2 linked regions of the Tribolium castaneum genome follow. The protein of the gene in region 1 interacts with the protein of each later gene in a biochemical or structural test. Links are inferred from orthologs where the notes say so. Each region holds a gene or a part of one and is shown in the gene's direction. Other genes may lie near its edges.

Evidence for each region.
Region 2: the proteins of TER94 (region 1) and mh form a complex in vitro, tested with the Homo sapiens proteins (2 studies listed by BioGRID). The link is inferred for Tribolium castaneum from reciprocal best matches to the Homo sapiens genes VCP and SPRTN.

The regions. Positions count from the first base shown.
Region 1 is NC_087396.1:21,356,747-21,363,612, forward strand, and holds the end of TER94 (transitional endoplasmic reticulum ATPase TER94), read left to right. Parts: intron 1-946; coding exon 947-1,139; intron 1,140-1,203; coding exon 1,204-2,322; intron 2,323-2,601; coding exon 2,602-2,785; intron 2,786-2,839; coding exon 2,840-3,126; intron 3,127-3,185; coding exon 3,186-3,437; 3' UTR 3,438-3,538; downstream 3,539-6,866. Other genes in the region: acidic mammalian chitinase, read right to left, coding at 3,922-4,044, 4,089-4,205, 4,256-4,553, 4,598-4,955, 4,999-5,136, 5,187-5,250. UniProt on the Homo sapiens protein: Necessary for the fragmentation of Golgi stacks during mitosis and for their reassembly after mitosis. Involved in the formation of the transitional endoplasmic reticulum (tER).
Region 2 is NC_087394.1:3,894,809-3,903,721, forward strand, and holds mh (DNA-dependent metalloprotease dvc-1), read left to right. Parts: upstream 1-4,505; 5' UTR 4,506-4,634; intron 4,635-4,690; 5' UTR 4,691-4,704; coding exon 4,705-5,242; intron 5,243-7,388; coding exon 7,389-7,585; intron 7,586-7,726; coding exon 7,727-8,680; 3' UTR 8,681-8,731; downstream 8,732-8,913. Other genes in the region: HIG1 domain family member 1A, mitochondrial, read left to right, coding at 9-101, 153-334; uncharacterized protein LOC103312501, read right to left, coding at 587-1,370, 1,678-1,926, 1,974-2,190, 2,240-2,395, 2,676-2,841, 2,893-3,126, 3,179-3,324, 3,498-4,122 and 1 more. UniProt on the Homo sapiens protein: DNA-dependent metalloendopeptidase that mediates the proteolytic cleavage of covalent DNA-protein cross-links (DPCs) during DNA synthesis, thereby playing a key role in maintaining genomic integrity.

The DNA.
Region 1 (6,866 bases):
GGGGATCGTTCTTGTAATTTTTGAGTCATACGATTTTATCAAATAATAACACGCATTATTTTTCTACAACTTTCTCGAAAAATTATTAAAATAAATTATACTTGTTTTCCTTATACATCCGGTGATTCCAATGAATGTTGATCGGTACTTCCCACAATTTGATCGCTAGTGACTCATTATTATGACTATCTACTGTGCGACTATTATCGTATTTTTATAGTAATCGGCTTTTGATTACAAAATAACCGAAAAAAGTCAATATTTCTTAAGTCTCCGAACCTACCAAGTTTTTTTTTCATTGAAGATAATACAAATTTTTTTCTCAAGATTTAAGCACATTTTTTTTGTATAATTTTTACAACTTTGTTCCTCACAGTTTTTTGGTACCTATAACAGTAAAAAGAGACAGACTGTAGACATAAATAGAAAACTGGTTCTATTCCTTTTTAAATTCAATTCACTGTTGTATTTTATTTGTTATTTTATTTATTTAAATAGTGACTGAATAAGTAACAATTCAAAATAATTTGCAAGGAAAGCACACAACTTATGTTAATTAGTGACATAATAACAGATTGCCCTTCATTATTTTGTTTTAAATTTATCTTAGCATGTTTTTCTCAATCTTGTGTATTTTGGTATAAAAATTTGTCAAAATTCGGTACAAATCTGACAATTTTTTGCGGCTTAAATTTATTGGTTTTATTTTATTTTTTCGGGCTGCCAACGTTTTTGCGATGTTTATTTCAGGTATTAAAATAAATCGTGTTTGTTAATAAAGAGAATCGTTTTTTTTTCTTTGATGTTTATAAAACTGACGTAACGTCTGTATTGGCAAACAATTGAGCAATGTTTCTTAATTTATTTGTGACGTAGCAACTAAATTAAACAAAAACACGAAACATAGTCACTGTGATTTACAAAAAAAAACTATATTTTTTTGTAGAAATCTCTTCGAGGTGTACTTAAAACCATACTTCCTCGAAGCTTATCGACCAATCCACAAAGGCGACGTTTTCATCGTCCGTGGTGGCATGCGAGCCGTTGAATTCAAAGTGGTGGAAACGGAACCGTCACCATATTGTATCGTCGCCCCCGATACCGTCATCCATTGTGACGGCGATCCGATCAAACGAGAAGTAATAAAAATTAATCCAATTAAGTGAGTGACAATCATATTTTTTTCTATCTTGTTTTTCCCAGGAAGAGGAGGAAGCCTTGAACGCCGTCGGCTACGACGATATCGGCGGTTGTCGCAAACAACTCGCACAAATCAAAGAAATGGTCGAATTACCTCTACGCCACCCGTCGCTCTTCAAGGCCATTGGCGTGAAACCACCACGTGGTATCCTCTTGTACGGACCTCCAGGTACCGGTAAAACTTTAATCGCACGTGCAGTGGCCAACGAAACCGGTGCTTTCTTCTTCTTAATCAACGGTCCCGAAATTATGAGTAAATTAGCCGGCGAATCCGAAAGTAATCTAAGGAAAGCGTTCGAAGAAGCCGATAAAAACTCACCGGCTATTATTTTCATCGATGAATTGGACGCGATTGCACCGAAACGTGAAAAAACCCACGGCGAAGTCGAACGCCGAATTGTCTCGCAATTGTTAACACTGATGGACGGCATGAAGAAAAGCTCGCATGTTATCGTGATGGCGGCCACAAATCGCCCGAACTCAATCGATCCGGCTTTGCGTCGGTTCGGTCGTTTTGACCGCGAGATAGATATTGGCATTCCTGACGCCACCGGACGTCTGGAAGTGTTGCGTATTCACACCAAAAATATGAAGCTTGCCGACGACGTTGATCTTGAGCAAATCGCCGCCGAGACGCACGGTCACGTGGGCGCCGACTTAGCGTCGTTGTGTTCGGAGGCGGCGTTGCAGCAAATCCGCGAAAAAATGGATCTGATTGATTTGGATGACGATCAAGTCGATGCGGAGGTTTTGAATTCGTTGGCTGTTAGTATGGAGAATTTCCGTTATGCTATGACCAAGTCGAGTCCGAGTGCGTTGAGGGAGACCGTGGTCGAAGTGCCGAATATTACGTGGGACGATATCGGTGGATTGCAGAATGTTAAGAAGGAATTGCAGGAATTGGTGCAGTATCCGGTTGAGCATCCTGATAAGTTCTTGAAGTTTGGCATGCAACCGTCACGTGGTGTGTTGTTTTATGGACCACCTGGTTGCGGGAAGACTTTGTTGGCGAAGGCTATAGCGAATGAATGTCAAGCGAATTTTATTTCGGTCAAGGGGCCGGAGTTGTTGACGATGTGGTTTGGGGAGTCGGAGGCCAACGTTAGGGACATTTTCGATAAGGTTTGTTGTTTCTCTTGAAATTTGAATACGAAGTGTAATTAAAATCGCACTGAATTTAAGTAAAATTGAAAAAAAATGGGATTAAAAAAATAAAAAGATTATTATGGCGTTCATTGTGTAATGTGTAACAAAATCTTGCCAACGCGTGAACAAAAATGACGTTATTTACGGCATTAAAATATTTTCTCCTCTGAAACATAATGTAATTTTTTTTTATTGCCAAGTCATGCAGACAGAGGAATTTAATAATATTTTCCGAATGTGTGTTTGGCTTTCTAGGCTCGATCGGCCGCCCCTTGCGTCCTCTTCTTCGACGAGTTGGATTCGATAGCAAAATCACGTGGAGGCAACCTGGGGGATGCCGGAGGCGCCGCCGACCGTGTCATTAATCAAATTTTGACGGAAATGGACGGAATGGGCGCAAAGAAGAACGTTTTTATTATCGGAGCCACAAACAGACCTGGTGATTAACCCGCCAATTTTATCGATTTTTTTCTATTATTTTTTTAATTTTTAGATATCATTGATCCTGCAATCTTGCGTCCCGGCCGTCTCGATCAATTGATTTATATCCCGCTGCCGGATGAAAAGTCTCGCGAAGCGATTTTCAAAGCAAATCTGCGTAAATCCCCCGTTGCAAAAGACGTGGATCTTACTTACATAGCTAAAGTGACTCACGGATTCTCAGGTGCCGATTTGACGGAAATCTGTCAAAGGGCGTGTAAATTAGCGATTCGCCAAAGCATCGAAACCGAGATTCGGCGGGAGCGCGAGAGGGCCATGAACCCGAACAGCGCAATGGATGTGAGTAGTTTTTTCTTGCAATAAAACACAAATTTAATGAGAATGTGAAATTGTTTCAGTTGGATGAGGATGATCCGGTTCCGGAGATAACTCGCGCCCATTTCGAGGAGGCGATGAGATTTGCCCGAAGATCGGTGTCGGATAATGACATCAGGAAGTATGAAATGTTCGCGCAGACGCTGCAACAGTCGCGTGGTTTTGGCACTAACTTCCGGTTCCCGTCGGGAACGGGAGGCTCGGCTGCGCCAGGAGGGACAGGAGGCGATCAGGGCAACTTCCAAGATGATCCTGAAGACGATTTATACAGTTAAATATTCAGGCTCAATGTGCACTCTTTTTTTATTTGTATTGTCATTTTGAGTTCATTTGTGAAATAGTTTTGAATTATTATAATAAAAAAGGATTCTGTAATGACGAGAGTTTTTTTGGGTTGAAATAAAGATTTTGGTGGGTTACGAAGACGTTTTCTGATGATATCCTTGAAGTGTTTAGATCAAAAGATCGCCAGTTTATTTTAAAAATCGGGCTGCCATCTGTGACTATTCCTAATGCAAATAATTTAACTTTGAAGAGCTATATCTCGTGAAAAAAGCCTCAAACAATTTTTTATCATAAGAACTTGTAATTTAGTTTGATGTCCTTTATCAGCACCCGAGAGATTGTACAGCTCTTTTGAATCACCCTATATTAAAGTTTCTAACGAAACACGAGTTTTTTTGACGAATTTGCCTTTTATTTTCCGTTTGAGCAAAAAAAAAAATCAATAATAGGAAATAGGTAAGTATTTTTCCTAATTTACAAATTATTCTTAATGGCTTGCAATAACCCATTCCTGTCGCCACAAGCCCCGGCTTTATCGTCCTGGTTCACAGCCCACATCATCACACCACCCAAATTTCTACTTTTGGCATACTGAACCTAAAAATGCGATCACAATTTTGCAAATTCATTCGTAAAAATACTTTAAGTGCAATCGATTGTGGGTCATCGTAACCAATCCACTGATCACCGGAATATTTATAGGGCACTTCCTGCTCGTCATCCCACGCATTAACCCACCCATCGTTCAATTTACACAACTAAAATCCCCACAATTACCAAAAAAAAAATAAATAAAAAGAGATAATACTTCTCCATAAATGACTTGACCACCGTTTAGTCCAGGCCCCACAATAGGCGAGCCAATCCCATGCTGATTACCATCAGCCAGTTGGAAACTTTGCCCGTAAAAACCCAACCCGAGAACGACTTTAGTGGGGTCAGCCCCACTATTTAACCAATTATTAATCGCCGCGTCACAATTGGCATTATTTCTCTCCCAATCGGAATCGCTCGAAGAGGCATAAAGTGGGGAATTTTCCCCGGTTTTTTGTCCAGAACTCGCCGAATGGAAATCATAAGTCATGACATTGATCGCGTCAACCGCCCTGAAAACTCACCCAGTTGGCGAAAAAATCGTGTATAAACCTACTGCGAAATCGCGTTAACATTGTAACTGCTGGGGTCCGGGTACGACGACACCGCCACCGTGATCAGCCCGCCCCCGTTCTGGTCCAAAACGTTCCGAATCACCCACAACATATCGATGAAGTTCTCCTTATCGGCGGGGGTTCCCCCACGCTGGCCCGGGTATTCCCAGTCGATGTCGATCCCGTCGAAGTTATACGTTTGCATGTAGTAGAGCGTGCTGTAAGCTACGTTGATCTTCTTACCAGGATCGGCGGCAACGTCCGAAAATTTCGTCGAGCCCTCGCTCCAGCCCCCCACACTTATCAGCAACTTCAGGCCCGGGTTTCGCGACTTGAGGGCCCCAAGGCGCCGCAAAACGTCTGGAATTATGCGTTAGGTGGGTCGGTTACGTTCGGGGGTTACCATCGCTTCCGTCCAGCCGGAAACTCCCATCTGGGTTGATGCCCACGAAGGCGTAATTGACGTGCGTGCAGGCGGACACGTCGATGTCCTCGGGGGCGAAATCCGAGACCCAACTTTCGTAGTAACAAATCACTTTGTCTTGAAATAAACGGGTTTGAGTATTTTATTTTAATAGTGGAGGTACTAACCCACCGCCCCATTTGTGGGACTTAGAATTGCCAAAATCGAAATCAAAAATATTTTGGTGTACATTTTGGTCGGAAGTTTCAATTATCTACTGTTGTGGCGCTATTTGTAGTCTGGCGATATCTGGTTATCTTGCAAAAATCGAATTTTTCTATTGTTGAAAATAGATCAGGCATAAGCCGCATGAGATCGTCAACAACCAATCTCAAGAAGAGTCCTACATTCGTAGAAATAATCTTTTAAAACGCTGATAAAACCATCTTTTCTAATAACTTAGTAACAGTCAACGTTGGAAAACCTAAAAAACTAATAATACAGGGAATTGAAATATTGTTATGCCGTTTTTATTATCCGATAGATTTAGTTCACAAACTAAAAATATTTTTATTATGCTCAGTGTTTAATACAAGGTGGTGAACCAAATATTTTTAAATGGAAGACTATATATTTTTGCATAATTGAAATTTACACAAAAAAATAATGTAACTTTTTGATGTGCTCTTTACTATGGAAAAAACCGTTTTCTCCTAGCTCTTTTAGTTTGGCCGTAATCGGCGATTGAAAATTGAATTTTTTTTGCGAGATATCGCCTTGAGTCCTATGCCATTTTGTAGAGTTTTTTATTCCGGTTGTCCTCGATTTTTTCGTTTCTCGATAACTCTAATAGTTTCGCCGTAATTGGCGGTTGAAAATTGAAAAAAAGTGAAAATGGAAACCTTTTTTTGCGTTTATCTCGGAAACTGTAAGACTTAGAGCAACGAACAAAAAACCATCTGATAGCGCTTAATTTTCTCTATTTTTTCGATTAAACCCGGAGCCGCTCCGGGTAACGGTCCCGGGTACAGAGGCGATCAAAGTTTTTCACTAAAAAAATTCATAAAAAAAAAACTAAAAGTCGTAGAGAATTTCGGTTTGTTCCATTGAATTCTACGGCTCATTTTACATATTATATCAATTTTTCACAAGAATTAAAAATTTAAAATTTTTTGCCTAAATTTAGGGTAGCCATTTGTCATACTGAAAAATTTTATTCATTAAAAAAATTCATAACTCAAAAACTAAAAGTCGTAGAGCAATGCGGTTTGTTCCATTGAATTCAGCGGCTCATTTTCTGTATTATACCAATTTTTCACGGAATTTAAAATTTTGATTTTTTTTGCTAAAATTTCCTTAGTAATACACTTACCTTTAAGAAAGTGAAAAAATATTTTTTTTTTAAACTTTTTCTATTATAGTTTTTTGGACTTATATATGCCTTAACAACCCCCTAGAGTTGTTAAATGTAGAAAAAAATTAATTGCTTCGATTTTTAGAGTTTTGATTTTTGCAATTTTTGTCGCAGTTTTGGTCGATTCCGGGTACCCGGCACATTTGTCGAGCAATAGCTCCGGAACTATTAGAGATAACCCCATGAAGTGTATTATCGTTGGAAAGCTCTTTAAATAGTCTATTTTTTTCAAAAAAGATTATTGTTCTCCGACTAATAGTTTTCGAGCAAATTGCAGATAAAAGCAAAAATAGGTAAAATTTTAAAAAATTCATAACTAAAAAACTATTGGGAATTTGGTAATTTTCTCGATGCCAATCGATTCCCCGGATCATTTTGCATCTTTTTTCGTTTTAGAATTATTCACTTTTCCGTTGTAAAAAAGACCAATTTTTGAAAAATCACTGCAAAGTCG
Region 2 (8,913 bases), on another chromosome or scaffold:
CGTTTCAGCAACAATGAGCGATTCCAAAGTGTTCAAATTCGAGGAGGAAACTGAGTCTCGATTGGCGCGAAAGTCCAAGGAAACCCCCTTTTTCCCCATAGGTAGGTGGAAAACCTAAATTAGTCGATTGGTGTTAATTGGGGATTTTGCAGCCATTGGCGTGTGCACACTGGCGGTGGGCTATGGGGCCTACATGTTCAAAAATCGGGGCAAAATGAGCACCAGCGTCTACCTAATGCACCTCCGAGTGGGGGCCCAGGGCGCGGCCGTTGCCTCTCTCACCGTAGGTTTAATTTATACCATGATTAACGAACACATATTGAAGAAGAAATGAGCCAGTATTAAGCCTAGTGACAAGATTAGATTATTCGCGCTCTAATTTATTAAATCTTGATTTATTGTTGTGATTTATTTTTATAACAAAGTCGTGCTACAGCGTGATCAAGAGTGACGGTATCAGTTGGCAGTACTGATTCTCCAGCCACTCTTGATCACTACTTGTTGTACATATTGTAAATTATTGTTGCAGTCAACTGTTACTAGAAAAAAGTTTATTTGGGTAACTGCCACGTAAAAAACCTACTACTTAATAAATACTATGAATCTTTTTATCACAGTTTCTGTTTTTGTGCTTTTTGCAGTCGCAGAATTGGTTCAAGGTCATGTACCTCACCAATAATTTGCGTATGTCCTCAACCAATTCTTCAGTATACCCTAAATCGAACAAATTCCTAAACATTTCAAACCTCTCTGAGTCTATAATGTTGGCAACAAGGGCATAAGCAATACACTCGACCCTTAGAAGATTAGTCCGTGATTCAAGCGACCAATTATAAATCGTCGGAATTGTATCAGGACTTAATCTAAACTTTTCCACACAATCGGTCAAATAACACCGATAATCCTCCATCAAAAACCTATCACATAGTCCGATAACGTCCAAATGAGTATTCAAATCAATATCAATTTCAACCAAGTCGGTCTTGATCCAGTGCAGCAAACACCTTAAGGATTTATTGTTGACGTTTGGTAACGTGATCACATCCTGGCTTGACTCTTTGAAATCACCGTTAAGTAAGCGGGCAAAAAAATCTGAATTACGGCTCAGTAAACCCCTGTCGGCACTCAGTAAACTCCCATCGTCTAGTTTGAATGTGACCACGGATGATGTATCGCCAGTGTTGCCACCCGTCACGTTTTTGTAAATGCCAGACACGTTTTTTGGGTTTGGAATGCCAAGTTTTTTCGATGCTAACACACAAAGGACTTTGATGCTTTTGGTCTGGAGGGCAGATTGGTCCTTGAGGAGCTTCATCAGGATCTCCAGGCCGCCGCAGTTCAGCATGAGCTTCACCAGGATTGCTTTGCTCCTAAATGGAAAATTTCATTTGGTTATTTTTTGTGTTGGTATCTGATAATTATAGGAAAGTACAAAAAAAATGGCAACTAAATTTAATTAAACATAAATAAAAGAATAAATACTAATTCTATATAAAAACTAATTCTATCTAAAAAGGCCAAATTATAAGAATTATAATTATAATAAGAATTTGAATTAAATTAAATTAATTAATTCCTAAATTGATCCTAATTATAAGAAAATGTTAAATTTTTGAAAAATCCGCAGGCATATCATTTCATCATTGTCACCAACCTAATTTTAAAATCACAGCTTACCTGATGATGTATGGGATCACTAATACCAACTGTTGTTTAGTGACATTATCCCCTCGGAGTAGTTTATGGGCAATATCGCCCTTCCCCCCTCCAGTCTCAGCCACCCGTGATAATTTTTTGATTATAGAAGCACTAATCCATTGGAACTGGCGACATTTTGAACACCAGGAGCCATGTTGGATTTTGGCCATGTCGTAAACAGCCGGAATAAAATCGCTTTGCATCAAAGGTAGTAGATAATTGTGTGACCTAAAGTAGGCTATGAACCCGGGTTTTCCCCCTAAACAATTTCTCACCCTAATATCTTGTAAATCAAATCAACTATGTCCAAAATGGCGGATGAACATGGCCAGTGGAAGTAGGCCGTGCTTTTGATTAGGCCGAGGAGTAGTTCGGGGGTTCCCAACTGCGTAATCGGTGGCTTGATTTTGATGTAGGTTTTGAGCAAATCGACTATTTCTAAAACGAGGCGTCCTTTGATTTGTTTGACGCTACTTGAGTCCACGTCGAAACCTGTAAATTGTTTTTTTTTGTGACAGTGAATAAAATTAAAAATTATTACTTTGAATTTCTTCGGTTTCTTCCGAAATGTCCGAACTTTTCGAATCTATTTCGGGATTCGGGGATTCTTCACCTTCTGGTTTTGCCAATGGGAAGTCAGAAGGGTCCACTTCGCTACACACTGGCGAATAGTCGTCCGAATCGGATTCAGAAATACCTAAAAATAATTAAGCTATTGATTTAAATAATTAAACTTTGAAATATGATTATTTTCATCAAGTTGGTAGTAGTTGATATGGTATATTAACAATAGAGGGCGCCACGTTACGTCACATGACATTTAAAAGTTACTAACTTCACACTACATGAACGTTAGAACTGTCAATTTCTAATTTAAATTTGATGTCACAGCTTACTATCTCATGATTTTTTAATAAAAAAAGCACAACTAAGCAATTGTTTTCTGTTACCAAATTGTTTGATAAGTTTTTTTTTACCATAAAGTCGGGACCGAGGGCTTGAAGGTGGCGACAGCCCTGAAGTCCAAGACATGGCCATCTCAGATTCGTTGCTTGACCCAGGACTGTAGTCATTTCTGACACTTGAATAATACTTATCGATTTCTTCGTCGCTATCTGAACTAGAACTTTCTTCATCTTCCTTCTTAAAACAACAATCCAATCATAAATCAAGTTAAGATAATTTGTGACTTACATTCAAATCCACCATTAGCTTACTCCTCTTACTTTCCTTAAACTTGGCAAGAAAATTATTTCTGCGTTTTTTATCACTTTTATGATTAATATTAAGCGGATCAACGCTCCCGACTATCAGTTTTATTTTCTCATTCAAGACTGTCACAATGTTACACCTGACCTGATCCGCGATCAGGTTAAAGTTGTACTTGCACTTCTTCAAAGTTGATATAATTAAAATGCTACACTCGATCTGAAACCAAAGAATAAGCTCACAAAAATCGGGGTTTTACCCAAAAATTTACTTTATTATTAGTTTGAAGGGTGAGCCCACTTAGTACATTAATTAAAAGTGGAATGCTGTCGCCACACCTTTCATTTTCTCTATTTCCTGGATGGTCCAAAAGGTAGCAAAGACATTTGATACACTCTTCACATGTGGAATTAAACTCTACATAAAACAAAAAACCGGATCATAGTAGCCTAGGACTCTGAAATTAGGTTGGCAACATTGAAGAACGAAAAATAATTGGTAGTAACTCAACTCAAAAAAACTTTTCATGGCCTACTTGACGCAGCAACTTCTGCCTACATTACTCAATGTTGCCAACTTGAATTAAGTACCTTGAATGATCGTATCGTCGCTTAAGACTTCAATGAAGCTGTCAAAAATCTCCGGAACGGGCAAATCTGACTTCAACTGACTGATTTTCAAGAAGTTCATGACAATTTTAACGACTTGTCGCGGAGCCACTAAGAGAATTTTGCTAAGGTAGACAATCGAGTCGCCTTTGTCTGTACTTCTCATTTCTTGGATAGAGGGATAATAGCGATAGCGCGAATACTCGTGGAGTAACTTAACGATGTTAATAAGCACGCTTTCGCCTTTTTTCGTCTCTTGCCAGATGGCACCATACTTAATAAGCAACATCCCTACAGTTTTAAGCACCCCGTACGTTGTCACGAGCGACTGAAGCGTTTCTCGATTAACTAAGACCCTCAAAGCCCGAATACCCATTGTAATAGTAGCTTCGGAAACTTTCCCATTTTCTTCCTCCACCGAATCTTTAAGATACTTGACAATGTGTATAACAATTTGCGGTTTTTTCTCGATTATAACCCCCGCCCATTGGTCCCTGTGTTGGCACAAATTGCCCACAATTCGAAAAACGCGCCCGTTGATGCTATCATCTTTCGGGTAGCGCTTCAAAAGTTGATTGAAATTGGACAAAGCGCCATATTGACTGATCTGCAACAAACCGGTGAAACCCCCGAACCCGTGACGTCACACCTACCACATCCCTGGCACACTTTGCGTCAAGACAACAGTTCCCCAAAATGCTCAAGGAGACGTTAATCGTGCTCTTCTTGGAGGTTTGGAGGGAGGCTACGATTTGCTTAAAGCAGCCCTTTTCCCGGATTTTGCAAATGTTCTCCTTGTTTTTGGGGCAGTCGGCGTCTACCTTTTTTCGTACATCGATGAGAATCTTGAGTAATTTTGCGCTGTCTTGGGCGTCTTGAAGGGACGATAAAACCTCGTCAAAATTATTACTTGACATTGTTGGGCCGCCTTTAGTTCATTACACTGGACTGGGTGTTTTTTTCGGCGATTTTTGCAACAAAATCTGGCTCCAAACACCCGACATGTCACTCGAATGACGTTTGCGACCACTGAAGTACCAAGAAAATAGAGTGCGACATAATTGGGTCAAAAATCACAATTTTACAGCTAAAACGCCTCAAGACAACGATCAGGGGCCGGTTTGTGTCGCACTAGTAGTGTAGGTTCCACCGTTTCAACTAATTCGATTTTTTAGTTTTTGAGGTTAGGATGGAGCTGGACTACCAAATGGCGCTCATTTTGCAGCACAGGTTTGAACAAGAAGCTGGGCAAACCGAACAGTCTGATTCTGAGTTGGCCAAACAATTGCAAGAACAGTTCGAACAGGAGGCTGCAGTTGAACAGCCCCCTTCTAGTCTTGTCTATCACCAGCCTAAAAAGGGGTCCGACTCGACCAAATCACTCATAGACCCCTCATGGGAGCTCGTGGACCCCACCCCCGACATACACAACCTGTTCATAGCTTTTGACCAACGTTTTTTTTGGAATAAATTGGTGGCGGTTTGTGTCTCTTGGAGCAAGAAAATGACTTCGTGTGCTGGCATTTGCTCGTATAGTGGCAGAGGGGGGCTTTGTAGTATCACCTTGAGTGAACCGTTACTTAAATTAAGGCCCAGGAAAGACTTAGTTGAGACTCTTCTTCATGAAATGATTCACGCTTATTTATTTGTAACCCATAATAATAGAGACAGGGATGGGCACGGGCCCGAGTTTCATAAACACATGTACCGGATCAATAACGAGGCAGGTGGGTTCAAATTTTATTCTTAAAATAAGTAAGTAACACGACAAAAATTGTAATTAAGGGAGTTGGAGTTAGGGGGTTTGCACTATTGCACAAATGCGAGTTGCAGCTGTTGCAGTGGAAACCCTTTTTGTTCATTTTGTAGCGGCAGACTATTTTGTAAGCGACCATGTCGAAAGTGGCGCATCCTTTGGCTTGGACACCCTCTGAAAATGTTGAGAAATAGTTTAAACACTACTGAAACTCCACAGAGTTCAGAACGATTTAAATGATAGAAAACGTACGCTTTTTGAAGTTAAAACTGAAACACATGTCTGCTGAAAAATTTCCAATGCATTCTCTCAGTCTCCAGGGTTTTTCACAAAGCGTCCAATTGGATTGTGGGGGCCAGATGGGGACATAACTTTCTGATGGTGTCCAACATTCGTAGCAAATTATCTTCGCCAAACTGATTTCTGTAATAGTTATTAAGATAAGGGCAATACTGAGGCTTTTATGCCACATGGTTGACAATTTTTGCAATATACTATTATTTTATCGTAAGCATGTGGGCATAAATTATGTCTTATTCAATGATTATTTGTCAAAATTACATTTTTTTAACACATGTCATGTCTAAAATTAAACATTAATTAAAAAAATTGACTAATGGCAGTAGGTAATAAATAAAGACAAAGTATCTTTTATTAGATTCTGCTCTATTCTTTTTTTAGTTTTTTTTTCTTAAACATTGTTTCTATACCATTTCCTAGAATTTCTATGATTCTCTTCTAATTCTTTTCTAATACCATTTGTAGATATGAAATTTGGAGTCTTTTTCCTTTAGGATAGTTTAAAAGATTTATAACTTTTTTATAACATTATAGTTTATAATTTTTTCACTAGAGGAGAATCTAGATTTTTCTTTGGAATTAATATTCTGTAGACTGTAACTATTTCATATTTTTTAATAAATACTACTTCTACATTCTCCAAATTCTCTATAATTTTTTTTTGCTTATTTTTAAAATTATATTAGTTTCATTTATCTTGAATTTTTTTAGATTATTTTTTCTCATTTTTTCTGTCATATTCTTTTATAAAAATTCTTCTTTATATACGCATTTTTTAAATTTTTTTGTTTAAAATTTTTGTCGATTATTCTTTGTCATTGTTTTTAATTTTTTTTGAATTTTTTTTTCCGATTTCGTCTGTATGCAGATCTGAAATCTGGACTTCTCTTTAGATTATTTTGTTATGTTATGTTATGTTATGTTTTTTTTATAAATTTTTCCCCAGATGCTCTTTTTATTATTTTCTAGACTATTGTCGATTATTCTTTGTTATTATTTTTTTACATTTCTCTTAATTTTTTTTCTTCAGATGTTCATTTTTTATAATTTCTAGAGTTATAGATTACTCAAAAGTGCTCAAAGTTATATTACATACAGGCTGTTCGGTAACCAGTTATGAACACGCCGTATAAACACTTTTACACTTATTTCTGCATTCTCAATAAATTTTTTTATATTATACTTTCTGTTTTCAAAACTCTTTCATAGGTTAGAATTTTTCCTTATTATTTTTTTTTTCATATTTCTTGTAACTTTGTTCCCTGATTTTTTTCCTAAAGCCGTCTGCATATGTTTAATTGCATTTTTGTGTTTTTACTTTTGAGCAAGTAAATTCATGTTTTTTTTTTGCTACAAAAGTCGGCTACAACTTTTTAACATTTACTGTCATAGACATTTGAGGGGATTTTTAATTTAATTTAATATAATTTAATGGACTGTTAAAATTTAACACTGATTAACATAAAAAATCTAAGGGTCGGTTTACAGAAAGCGAAATTAAAATTTAATTTGAAATTAAACTAATTCGAATTAAGTTGCCATTTAAAATGCATTGACAAATGTCAAGTTAATCGCGATTAAAATTTAATTGCAATTAAAATTTTCTGTAAACCGGCTCTAAATTTGATTGGTTATTGCTATAGCAACCTACCATGTTAACGTCATTTAAATTTTAATAGTTTCGTTATATAAGATGATTACAAAGGATTTTCCATCAAGTTACCTGTTGTTCTTGTGACAGTTAAAGCCAACTTGATGTAAATTTATACTTGACATTGATTAATATTTATAGCCATTTAGACTCACAATATTTTCAGGGACTAGTATTACCGTTTACCATAACTTCCATGATGAAGTTCGTTTATATCAGCAACACTGGTGGCGCTGTGACGGACCTTGTCAGCACCGGAAGCCCTTTTTTGGCATGGTCAGAAGGGCCACAAATAGGGCTCCGGGGCCCAATGATAGGTGGTGGGCAGAGCATTTAAGGACTTGCGGTGGAACCTTTATTAAAGTAATTTTTTACCTTTTATCACTTATTTATTTTATTCACAATCCCTACAGTGTCAAAAATGTGATTGTGAACAAAATAACATAATATACATATAAAATAGTTCCCACCCGGGTGGTAATTGTATATTTGGTGCAAATTTAGGTCAAAGAACCGGAAAAGAAGAAACAGGAGAAGAAGAATGAAACGAAAAGTGTGAAGAGTAAAGATATTAGAGATTTTATGGGTGGTAATGTTAAAGGTTTCAAAGACTTGAAAAATGGCGTTGTTAGGGGAAAAAGCAACTCATCAAGCACTATAGTAGTCACTAAAAACACTAAAACTAGTGAAACTACTTTCAAACCGACGATTTTTAATGCCAGTACTAGTACTATTTTGAAGACTGAAACAAATAGCTCTAGTGCTAGTACTAGTACTAGTACTAAACCGAGTGATGATTATGTAGCTGTTCGAAATCATTGGGCCAACAAATTCAATAATGCCAATAAAAGACAATCATCCGAAGAATCATCAACTGTTTCCAAAATTCCGAAATTGTTTGGGTCTTCGCCTACTAGCACCCAAAAAAATCCCAATTCTGGTGAATTTTGTGAATGTCCTGTTTGTCATCAAAGGGTGCTGATGGCTGATTTGAACCAACATCTCGATCAATGTTTGCTTAAATCACCAGAAGAAAGAGAAAGTGTTGATCTTACTGATTCTTTCCATGAGGAGGAAGATACAAAAGAATGTCCACTTTGTAACAAAAAAATTGTAGCTTCCAAATTTGACACTCATGTTGAAAAGTGCCTAATGGAGGTTTATAACGGAGTTGAGGAAAAGTTGGCTGTTCCAAAAGCCCAAGAAGAAACGGTTTCGTGTTTAGCTTGTGGTAAAAAAATCGTAAAAAGTGAGCTTAATTCGCATTTGGATGAGTGTATGGTTGACATTTTCGATGACGAGGAAAGTAAAGATAAGGAAGTTTGTGATAAGAATAATTCGCAGTTTAATTGTCCATTTTGTTTGAAACTGGTGGAAGAGAGCGAAATGAAGGAACATATTGATGGGTGTTTGATGGCTGATAATCTCGCCGAGGCTTTTGCAGATGATGATTTTTGATTGTTAATTATTTTTGTTTTTTTTATGCCAAATATACATACTTTTTCTAACTTTGGTATTGATTTATTTATATTCCCTGACACGAAATATGCACATCCGAGGATTTTTTCGTACACACCTGTTGCCACCTGTTGCACTTAGAATAATTTAACTGAACTTGAGAATTGTAGAATTGGGTGGAGAAATGCTTTATTTTTACCTTTCTTAACAAAAAGTTAAGAAACTGCTGATTT